Cricetulus griseus: one gene and its partners. The protein of the gene in region 1 interacts with the protein of each later gene in a biochemical or structural test. Links are inferred from orthologs where the notes say so. Each region holds a gene or a part of one and is shown in the gene's direction. Other genes may lie near its edges.

Region 1 (3,650 bases):
CTACTGATTCAGAATCACTAAGTTAGCATTATAATTTAGTGTTTGGGGAAATGCTAAGCCATACCCAAGGATAATTACATCTTTATTACTACTTAAACAAAATTTGTTTAAAGTGTGTTAGAAAAGAAATTGGGAGTGTTTATGATCCAGCATGTTTATAAGGTTCTAGAAAAGCTCTTGCTTATGTCCACAAATACATGTACATAAGGCTGTTCTTTGAAGCGTTATTTCTAATAGCAAAAGTTGAAACAGCATCCGGTCTGGCAGCAGGAGAATATGTGATACATTCGAACAGCAATATACTGTGCAACATTTAAAGTGAACTGGAGCTGTATATGTCACCTGGATACCATCTGAAGTATAGACCTGAGTATTAAAGCAATACACAAAAATATACTATATTGTCTTATTTCTATGTAATGTAAAATATGCAAAGCAGTTCCATATACTTAGGATTGAGTACATATGTAGAAAAGATAAAAGCTTACCTCTGAGAACAGAAGAGAAAGTCTTTACCTGTAGTATGTTTCTCTTTTTAAAAAAATCAGAACAATTATGGTAAAATATTAAAATTTAACAGAATTATATAATAGAAACACTGGTTTTTATTCTTTTCTCAGGTCCTCAGATCTAGCATTCATACTTATCAATACTTTGAGTTTTTAGTTCCTCCTCCAAAACAAAATGTTAAAGGATTTGTTTTTTAGTCTTTTGTATACATCCTCTAGTATAGCTTCCTTTCTGTACTTGCTGTCTTGTGTCCTAAAGGATTAAAACACTACAGTATTCTTTGGTAAATACATTGTAAAAAAATTTGGATGGATGGATGGATGGATGGATGGATGGATGGATGGATGGATGGATGGGGTGTCTTATGTGTGTTGCCTGCTTATATATCTGTGTGCTATTTGGGTACCTACGGAGGCCAGAAGAGGACATTGGATCCCTCGAACTGGAGTTGTAGATGGTTGTGATCTGCCATATGGGTTCTGGGAATCAAACCTGTGTCCTATGGGAGAGCAGCTTGTGTCCTTAACTACTGAGTCATCTTTCCAGCCCCAAAATTCTCAGTAAATATTTTAAGTAGAAGTCATGCTCATGTAGCCTGTCTTTCTTGATAGAGCTGCAAGGTGAAAGAGTCATTTAGACTTCAGACTAATACTGGGAATTGGCATATCAATAGCACAGTAGGTGTAAAGAAAGGAACCTGCCATTAAGCCTGACTGCCTGAGTTCATTCAATCTCCAGGATTCATATGGTGGATCCTGGAGATTCATACAAGTCGTCTTCTGTCTTCCACATGACACCCTTACCCACCCCTAAACATATACATACAAAATGGATACATTTTTTAAATGCAATTTAAAAAGTAAGATAAAAAGAACTTATGCACACGTGCCCACCTGTCCACCTGTGCTTATTGATCTTGAGTGACACAGTCTTGGTGAAAAAAGGAAGGAGTCTATGTGATTGCTCTATAAGTTTGATTTTAGAACTTTGTGCCTAACTTTTTTTTATTATTTCTTATTACAGTGCAGCTTATGATGCTATTCTTGAAAGAAATGTTGCAATCAAGAAGCTCAGCCGGCCATTTCAGAATCAGACTCATGCTAAGCGAGCCTACCGAGAACTAGTTCTTATGAAATGTGTTAATCACAAAAATGTAAGTGAATATTTCATGTTTCTTCACTGTAAGTGAAATCAAGATTTATTCATGAATACATGCCTGTCAAAGGCTTTTTTATTTTTTAATATTAGGAGATTTAAATTACTTCTCTAGATTGAAACATTTAAAATCTACAGACTGATCTTCCTTCCACCCCCTCCCCTTACCCCCATTAGTAAGTAGTACCAAAAGGGGAAAAAATGAGTTGTGAAATTTAGATTGGGTAGTTTCCTGGCATTTAATTTATAGAAAGAATTTTAAGGAAATGTTTGAAAATCATTTTATTGGGCTGGAGATTGGCTCAGCAGTTAAGTGCACTGACTTCTCTTCCAGAGGTCCTGAGTTCAATTCTCAGCAACCACATGGTGGTTCACAACCTTCTGTAATGGGATCTGGTGCCCTCTTCTGCTGTGCATGGAGACAAGTCACTCATATACATAAATATTTTTTTTAAAAATCATTTTATTCAGAATTTTTCTCATCTTAGTTTTGTTGTTGCATGTAAAGCTGGCATTTCAGAAAACTGTACAGAAATGTACATTCCCATTGTACTTGGACATTGAAACTTAACACAAAATTCAAGATACTTCTCTGCACCCAATTCTGACTTCTTTTAAGTGGTATCAATACTTTTACTCAGATAACCACTGATAATAATAGTTGAACTAAAATTTGGAAATATTTACAGAGAACAAGGAAAACATTTCTAACTTGAAAATAAAGTTTTCATTCAATTTGAAAATGAACAGATTTTTGTTTGTTTGTTTGTTTTTCATGACAAAAGAGGGCATCAGATCCCATTATAGATGGTTTCTGAGCCACTATGTGGTTTCTGGGAATTGAGCTCAGGACCTCTGAAAGAGAAATCAGACAGTACTCTTAACTGCTGAGACATCTCTGCAGCCCCAGTTAGATGTTTTTTTGTTTTGTTTTGTTTTGAGACAAGGTTTCACTGTAGGTTTTGGAGTAAACTCTCTTTGAAGACCAGGCTGGCCTCGAACTCACAGAGATCCCCTCTCTCTGCTTCTGGAGTGCTGGGATTAAAGGCATGCGCCACCACCATCTGGCTGCAGTTAGATGTTTGCATTAAGCATCTAATGCATAGTTTGCATTAAGCATATTGATATGTTTATGATTATCTTAATGGGACAGTTTCCAAACTGGGAGGACATAAACAACTCGAGAATTGCAGAAAGGACAGTTTTATGAACCACTAAACTGAAAAGTGCTGGCCAGTGACATGTTATTCCAAAGGAATTTATAAAATATTAGTTCCATACTTTCTGGTGTAGAAAATATAATTCATCACATTTTGAGAGCTAGCCACAAATAGAACCTTTGTATATTAAAGTTACAGATTAATTACCAATGTGAAATGTATAGATGTTAAGGATTAGGCTTATTATTTGGGAAGTTTATGTGTAGTTTTGAAGGCAGTGAGACATGATGAGAGTTAAATACCACAAAGCAGTAATAATTTAATTGTCAGATAGTAAAGAGCAGACAGTACATGTTGATATCTCAGGGAGATTTCTCTGAGCTTCAATGAACTGAGAAGTCTTAAAGAGCAGAGAAGTAGACTTTAACTGACTCTTAAAAATGGGGTGAAAGTTAGATTGTGGGAAAGGGACTGACAGAGAAAGAGTGGTCATTATCAAGGAAGAAATTGTAGTTTCTTGTTGCAAGTGGGAGCCAGACATGGTGCTTCTCAGAGTTCTGCTTGTGGCCCTACCTCTGCTAGAGCTGCTCATACCCCTTCTAATCTCTGGACCTAGTTTAAAATCTTTTATGGCTGTTTTAAGTGTTGCCTCAGTTTTTCTTTGTTGAATTCAAATACTCCTTCCCCCACCTTGGGTGACAACAAAGATGTTCCATCTGCTAAATGGAGAGTATGGGAAGTATGTCTTATATGCTTAGCCACCTAAAGTGACCCAGACTGGGTGCTTAATGTAATCTGTTTATTGAATGAATATAAAATTAATAT
Region 2 (3,750 bases), on another chromosome or scaffold:
GATTGACTAAGTGCCCTGGAGACCAAAGTTACTGGAAGACCCATCCTTTCTGTAGAACCTCTAAAACACTCTAGAGATCTTGCCTCCAATTTGTATTTTCCACATGACTTTATGCTTTGCCCTTTTTTGTTATTTTGTAGACTTCGACCCACCTCCTCACACTTTTAATTCTTTTCCTAGATATTTGTATCTGTGCCCTTTGTATTACTATAAACAATGAACCAATTCATGGACTGGGGATGAAGTTCAATTGGTAGAGTGCCTATCACACATGAAGTGCTAAATTCATAGGTCTACCTGAGTGGGATCAGGAGTAGGCAGGAAGATCATGAGACCCTTGAAATGAATTTTAAAAGTGTCAATTCAAAGTGATTTGTTTCCATGGCCATTAGCCCTTTACTTCAGATCTTAAGGTTTATTGTCTCTCTTTCACAACCTTGATTTGTTCCCTAAATGGTTCCAAGAGTTCTAAATAGATCTAGTTTCCACCAAAAGGCACAGATCCTGCCCTTCTTGCTACAGGGCCTATAACCTAGAGTCCAGTCTTAGATAACTAAGAGCCAAGTTCCACCCTTATAACTCAGGCTGCAGCCTAAGCCTGCCCTTGCAGACAGTTCATTTCCACCCCTCAACTCCCCTGTATATCTGGCCTCCTACCTCTGCTGAATTCTAAATTCGTCTTGCCTAGCTAATTACCATAGCGTTACCCTACCCTCCTACATAGAGTCAAGCCCTACCCTGCTGCTATTCCCTGTTCTAAATAAGTCCTGTTTCCGCTGAACCACATGGTGTGCAGCACCACCTACTTTGGTGTTTTGGCAGCTGTCTCGGTGTCTCTACCAATCAGCTGAAAGCAGAGCCCATCCACCGCCCCTTTATCCTCTGGGGTTGTCTGTCTGCCATCAATCTCATTTAGGCCAATCGGTATGAACCAGGCGCGCTCCCCACCCCCACCCCCCAACCTTGGCACTTGCCCACTTGGCTACAAGTCCTCCTTGACCCAATCAGGGTGAAGCACTAGTGCCGCCCAATACCTCTCTAGTTGGCCATCTGCAGCCCATCAATCCCCTTCAAGCCAATCATGTCACAGCTCTGTTAGGATTCCACCACCAGGCCCCAAAGCTTTGCCTACATCCTTGACTTTTTGGCCAATCAGCGAGTAGCAGGGCGCTCGGCTCCTCCCCTGAGGGCCCACGTGAGCGTTGGGGAAACGCAGGGGCGGCTTTTGGGTGCTGCCGCCGCCACCACCACTGCTGCTGCTCCCGCCGCTGCTACCACCGCCGCCGCCGCCTTAGAACTCGGGCCTGGGGGGCGGTGGGGCCTCGTATGGAGCCCCCGCCCCCCGGAGCTGCCGCTGCCACCGCCGCGCCACACGCAGGTGAGCCCCAGGCCCTCAAGGTGGAGGGCCCCGTCCGTGACCCCATGTATCCTCGCCCCCGCGCAGGGGATGTGGCTTGGCCCAGCCTGCCGGTGTTTGGCTCCACTGCCACCAACTGATTTCCCCTGTGTGTGCATTGCCAGCTCCTTTGCCCCTTATAGTGGATCTGAGCGTGGCCTAACCTCCTGCTATCTCTGTATAATGGATCTGTCTGCGAGCTTGTTTTTCCTCACCCCAACTTAATGGACTCGTCCGTGGTCTTGCCCTCCCCAACCCCCACTTACTGGGAATAAGTCTGTTAAATTGTCCAGTCTTCCTTTAGTAGTAGCTGCTTCTAAAGTGTTTGCATGTCTCCTTAGCCTCAACTTTAAGGGGATCCTCTGTGGCCTTCTTTATTGAGCCCCTCATGTTTCGTTGTCGTCAATCTGTGGCGCTGTACCCCCTCCAGAGACCCCATATTTGTTTAACAGTGAGTCCACCTGAGTTTTTATTTCTGCCCCCTTGATTTCCCCAGTGCATACACCCATGACTTTACCCACGTCCTCCCGCTGCCCCCATCTTACTCTGGATTAGTCTGCATGCTTGCATTCACATCCCTCTAGCTAACACTGCCCTAACTTTTCTCCCTTATTGGTAGACTCCAGCCTTTGGGCTGCTTCCTTTTAACAATGGGTCAGTTTGGTGCTTTGTATATATATATTTTTTTTTTAATTTTCGGCGGCCCAGTCTATTGTCTTGTCTCTCGTTTTAATCATTATGTGATGGCTCTTCTCTGCTATTGCATAGTAGTCAGCAGCCTCCTGCCACCTCAGTGTTTGCATTCTCTCATATCCTTCTGAATCCAGTGCTTGCAGTCCCTCCCCAAGAAAGATAGGGCTTGTACTTTATTTCCCTCCTCCTCTCCATGTGTTGAATCAATCTTCCCTGCCCCCATCTCTTAGGTGATCCTGTGTTATGTGAGAAACCCAGGGACTTTTACTATACAGTTTACATGTTTTCTCGTAGACATTCTTATCCACTTAGACATTTTGCCTTCCTACAGTTCTCAAGTACAGTAATGGTACTGATGTTAATGACAGTCAGAGATAACCTTTACACTTTACACTTGCTGTGGACCAGACAGAGTGTTCTATAGTCTCCAGCTTGCTTAGTCCTCATCACAGCCCTGTGAGACAGGCAGCTGAGAAAACTGGGGCATATGGAGATGAAAAACCTGACTCACAAATGGTCCAATAACTACTTAGAGCAAGGAACATTGTGAAGTGCCCCCTCTCACCTCATTGCATCCCACATGAGAGCACATTCTTAAACAGCCAAATTAGTTCAAATTACCAGGCTTTTGTTTCTGCTGTTCCTTCTGTCAACAGCTATCTCCATTCCACACTGGTCCAAAACCTATCATCCCCCAGTCCCAGCAGTGCTGTGATTTTATATGAATGCCTTAACTACTTTCTTCCTGTACTATCCTGAAATGGGGAGTCAGGAACTATAATCATTTCCAGTGTGGAGAAAAAATATGTGACTTAATTAAACCAGTCACCTCTCTGACCTTACCTCCTTTCCCTCCCTATTTCAGACCCATAGTACAACCTGTTCTTCACTGCTTCTGGAAAACAGCAGGTACAGGCCCACCTCAGGGCCTTTGCACTGGCTCTTCTTTCTCCCTTAACACTACTCCCACATTTCTGTATGATAACTTCCAAGGCCCCATTCAGTTACCATACCCAAAAGAATTTTTTCACCACACTGTGCAGGAAACACACTACAGATGTTTCTAAGAATTCCATTTGATTCTTAAGTAAGTGTAAAAGGATGCATTAACAGAAATGTGATGTTGGTAATATGGAAAGGCACAAATAGAGGCAGAGGCAGACAGATCTCTGTGAGTTCAAGGCCAGCTGGTCTACAAGAGCGAGTTCCAGGACAGCCTCCAGAGCCACAGAGGCACAAATAGAAGATGTTTCAGAGACTGTTTTCATTTCTTTGCATCTGGGTAGTGTTCTTTCAGTGAAACATGTATTTGTCACACTGGTGCTTAGAATATATTATATAAAGGCACATGAATAAAAGTGTTTCAAAGGATACTTTTTGTGTGAAAACAAAATAGTCAACATCCACCCCTCCCCTTGACCATCTGATTTTGTGCATTCAGCAGCATTCTTCCCTGCTTGCTTTGTTCCTTTCTACTCTGTCACTGTTAGAAATGCTATACAGTTCATATATTGTCTGTCTCTCCTCCTCAGGATGGAGGTCCTATGGGGACTTATAGGTTTTATCTGCTTATTCAGTTCTCTGTCCTCATCTAAAAATGTACCTTCTGTACAGTAGATACTTGGAAGATATATATATATATATATATATATATATATATA
Region 3 (3,750 bases), on another chromosome or scaffold:
ACACAAAAAATTGTTTCAGCTTTAAGCAGACAGGGAGGGAGGGAGAGCAAAACCCCTTCCACCATTTGCTGTTCCAAGTTTGCCTCAGTTTTGCTTTTTTTTTTTTTTTTTTTTGCTTTATTACTATGGTATGAGTGTGTATACAAGCTACAGGGGCTGTAAGGATTAGAGGACAACTCTTGGGAGTCTGTTCTCTTGTTTTCACTGTGGATTCCAGGAGTTGAACTCAGGCCATCAGACTGGGTGGCATTTCACTGAGTTTTCTCACTGACTCTGATTTATTATCTTTCCAAAGATTTTATTTTATATTTACTTGTGTGTGTGTGTGTGTGTGTGTGTGTGTGTGTGTGTGTGTGTGTGTAGATTATGTGCATGTGTGTGCGGGTGACCTCAGAAGCCACAGGCGTTGGAGCTGTAGTTAGAGGTGGTTGAGTGCTGCGTGGCATGGGTGCTAGGATCTGAACCCTCTGTAAGAGCCGTATATGCTTAACCACTAAGCCAGCTCTCCAGCCCTCTAATTCGCTGAGAGCTGCGGGTCTCTACACACTGAGTGCTGGGATTAAAGGCGTGTGCCACCCTGCCTGGCAACCTTGCCTTCTTACAATGAACATTTATTGAGCATCTAAGTGCTGTTGGCTGGAGACCTTCGTGCCTGCAAGGTACTGTCCAGGCCCCTGAGGACACGAGGGACCGTGTGTTTTTGGCGTGTTAAGGCGCGAGGCTTAGCATGCGTGCCTCTTGCAAAGCCCCAGTATAGACAGTACTGCAGATGTACAGGTGGGTCTGGTGCTCTCTGCCCCACCTCCCCTAGCCTTTGCCTGGAGCCTAATGTGCTGAGCACGGTGACTTGGCATATTCCTGGGGCAGGGCTCGAGGTCTGAGGAGGCGGAGCTGCGCTGTAAATATAAGGCCCGAGTCACCTCCTCTCATGCTGCTGAAGTTGCACCGCACTGCATCGCCCAAAAGTAAGTAGGAGCTGGGCGGTGAGGACGGGGCCTGGGCAGAGTTGACACCCCACCCCCACCCCCGCCATGAGGTCTTTCTTCATCGTGCTTTCTGTGTGTTTATCTCTTCTAGTGCCGCCTTACACCATCGTCTACTTCCCCTCTCGAGGTGTGGCCTCAGCGCTTTCAAGATGAAGGGCACAAATTGTAGTCCTCAGGATCGCTCCTGTGGCTCCTGTGGAGCCGGAGGGGCGTGGCAAAGGCCGTGCTGGGGTGGGACCGAGACCTGGGGCGGGACTACAGTTGTGATTGGTGGGAACAGAACTGCCCTCTCGGGCACCTTAGGTGGAGGGACTTTGTTACTCTTCCTTTCCTGGGCCATTGTGGAGCTGTGTCCCGCTCTCCTAGGTATTGGTAGGGCGTGGCCTCTACTCCGTGTCTCCCCTCCCAACGTTTTAGTTTGGTCCTTTTGTAAGCTTTCCATTCTTCCAAACTCTCCCAGGTCTCTGTTCAGTTCCCCAATCTCTGTCCCGTACCCTAATACAGGGCGCTGCGAGGTTATGCGCATGCTGCTAGCCGACCAGGGCCAGAGCTGGAAGGAGGAGGTGGTGACCTTGGATGCCTGGGAGCAGGGTACACTCAAGGCTTCTTGTGTGAGTGACTACACTAAAGTGGGGATGGCACTGGGGCGCAGCCTTAGGGTCCTGTGACTAGGGTTGGGGGCAGCCCATTGAGCACCCCTTACAGAGCTGTCTTCTCCCAGCTGTTTGGGCAGCTCCCCAAGTTCCAGGATGGAGACATCACCCTGTACCAATCTAATGCCATCCTGCGGCACCTGGGCCGCTCCTTCGGTGAGTCCTGAAGTACAACCCTGAAAGACACCTGACAGATGTCCTGCAAAATGTCCTACAGCAACCAATCTCTCACCTGGATAGAGGGCAAGCAGGTTACCCTAGAGGCAGGCTGCAGGCTCAGGTTCCAAGAGGCTCCCAGGTGTGGTGCTGGTCTGTCTGTGCACAGTGGGGGCTGTGAATTTCCAGTAAACTTGCATTATTTGTTCTAAATGACATCTCATAAGGGGCCACCAGTTTCTATGTGTGACAATGGAACAGGACTAGAGACTTCCCAGTAGACCTCACTGCCCATTTCTTCCTAACCTGGCCATACCCCAGTCAGGGAAACCCATAGTCACAGTGACGAGGCCTCAGCCTGTTTGGATGATGTCAGGAAGGTGGCAGAGGCAACTATTCTCTGTGGGCCTGGTTGGGAAAGGGGTGCCCGGAGTTCCATAAAGACATAATAACCTGAGGATGGATGGGTAGTGGGAGCAGTTCAGGCCAACTCCTCTTTTACAGGACCTAGAGAGCAGACCACGGCCTTGGGCTGGGGCCTGTCATCTTCTCATCTGCCTTGTGCATCTCACAATGTATGTGGATAGCAGCCTTCACACCCCGGTCTGTCTAGGTCCCTAGACAGCTTGTTCCAAGGGAGGGACAAAACAGAGTTTTTGACTTCCTTTGGTGTGGCAGATCCAGTGACAGGTGTGGCCCAGAAAGCAGGCCCAGGCTTCAGTTGGCTGTGGCCCTGGGGGATGGTAGACTCTTCCCTTGTGAAGGTGGCATGGCTGAGGTAGGCAGGACAGGGAAGATCTTCAATGCAAAGTAGACCCAGGCTTTGGTGTGAGCGGGTATTTAGGGACTAGCACAGAACACGAGTATGCTGCCTGCTTCCTGACCCAGGGCTCTACGGCAAAGACCAGAAAGAGGCAGCGCTGGTGGACATGGTGAACGACGGGCTGGAAGACCTCATCAGGCACCTTGGCCAGCAGCTTCTCCGAAACTATGTATGTAGGGACTGCAGGCTTGTGCAAAGCAGGGTGGTCAGGAAACGGAACTCACTTTTGTCAGTCTGGCTGCACATTCTCACCTGGGGTCATTTCTGTCCACAGGAGGAGGGCAAGGTCCAGTATCTGAAGGAACTTCCAAGACACCTGAAGCCATTTGAAACTCTGCTGGCCCAGAACAAGGGTGGCCAGTCCTTCATTGTGGGTGACCAGGTGAGCACTGGGTCAGGCCCTTCCCACTCTACTCAGATCCTTTCTCAGATCTGAGGCCAAGTTCCCTGATGCAGAAATGGAGGCAGGAAGCATCCAGTGTTTGGCTCCATGGAGTTTCTCTCCTGCCCATAGATCTCCTTTGCGGACTACCGACTGCTAGACTTGCTTCTGAACCACGAGCGTCTGTTCCCTGGCTACTTGAATGACTTTCCCATGCTCTCAGCCTATGTGACACGCCTCAGAGCCCGACCCAAGCTCAAAGCCTTCCTGGATTCCCCTGAGCATGTGAACCGCCCCATTTCTGCTCGCCTAAAGATATGAGCCCACCTGCTTCGCCCAATCCCTCCCCCTCATGGATCAATAAAAACGAGGGCAGGAGCCGGGCTGGGCTGTGGTGGCATACGACAAACACCCCCTTAATCCCAACACTCAGGAGGCAGAGGCAGGCAGATCTCTGAATTCGGTGTTCTACAGAGGGAATTACAGGACATTCAGGGCTACACAGAGAAATTCTGTCTCGAAAAATTTAAAAAAAAGAAAGAAAGAAGGGGGGCTGGAGAGATGGCTTAGCGATTAAGATCACTGACTGTTCTTCCAGAGGTCCTGAGTTCAATTCCCAGCAACCACATCGTGGCTCTCAACCACCCTGAATGAGATCTGGTGCCCTCTGCTGGCATGCAGGCACAAGACTGTATACAAAATAAATAAAATCTTAAAAAAAAAAAAAAAGAAAAGAAAAAAAGAAAAGAA

Evidence for each region. The genes of interacting proteins can lie anywhere in the genome.
Region 2: of the proteins of Mapk8 (region 1) and Elk1, one has a biochemical effect on the other in vitro, tested with the Homo sapiens proteins (3 studies listed by BioGRID). The link is inferred for Cricetulus griseus from reciprocal best matches to the Homo sapiens genes MAPK8 and ELK1.
Region 3: the proteins of Mapk8 (region 1) and glutathione S-transferase P 2 form a complex in vitro, tested with the Homo sapiens proteins (2 studies listed by BioGRID). The link is inferred for Cricetulus griseus from reciprocal best matches to the Homo sapiens genes MAPK8 and GSTP1.

Annotation. Positions count from the first base shown.
Region 1 is NW_023276807.1:185,992,999-185,996,648, forward strand, and holds part of Mapk8 (mitogen-activated protein kinase 8), read left to right. Parts: intron 1-1,533; coding exon 1,534-1,663; intron 1,664-3,650. UniProt on the Homo sapiens protein: Serine/threonine-protein kinase involved in various processes such as cell proliferation, differentiation, migration, transformation and programmed cell death.
Region 2 is NC_048604.1:125,801,331-125,805,080, reverse strand, and holds the start of Elk1 (ETS domain-containing protein Elk-1), read left to right. Parts: upstream 1-1,203; 5' UTR 1,204-1,378; intron 1,379-3,750. UniProt on the Homo sapiens protein: Transcription factor that binds to purine-rich DNA sequences. Forms a ternary complex with SRF and the ETS and SRF motifs of the serum response element (SRE) on the promoter region of immediate early genes such as FOS and IER2.
Region 3 is NC_048596.1:55,181,523-55,185,272, forward strand, and holds glutathione S-transferase P 2, read left to right. Parts: upstream 1-875; 5' UTR 876-928; coding exon 929-965; intron 966-1,077; coding exon 1,078-1,113; intron 1,114-1,249; exon of another isoform or gene 1,250-1,352; intron 1,353-1,490; coding exon 1,491-1,597; intron 1,598-1,707; coding exon 1,708-1,795; intron 1,796-2,683; coding exon 2,684-2,787; intron 2,788-2,892; coding exon 2,893-3,000; intron 3,001-3,132; coding exon 3,133-3,321; 3' UTR 3,322-3,383; downstream 3,384-3,750. UniProt on the Homo sapiens protein: Conjugation of reduced glutathione to a wide number of exogenous and endogenous hydrophobic electrophiles. Involved in the formation of glutathione conjugates of both prostaglandin A2 (PGA2) and prostaglandin J2 (PGJ2).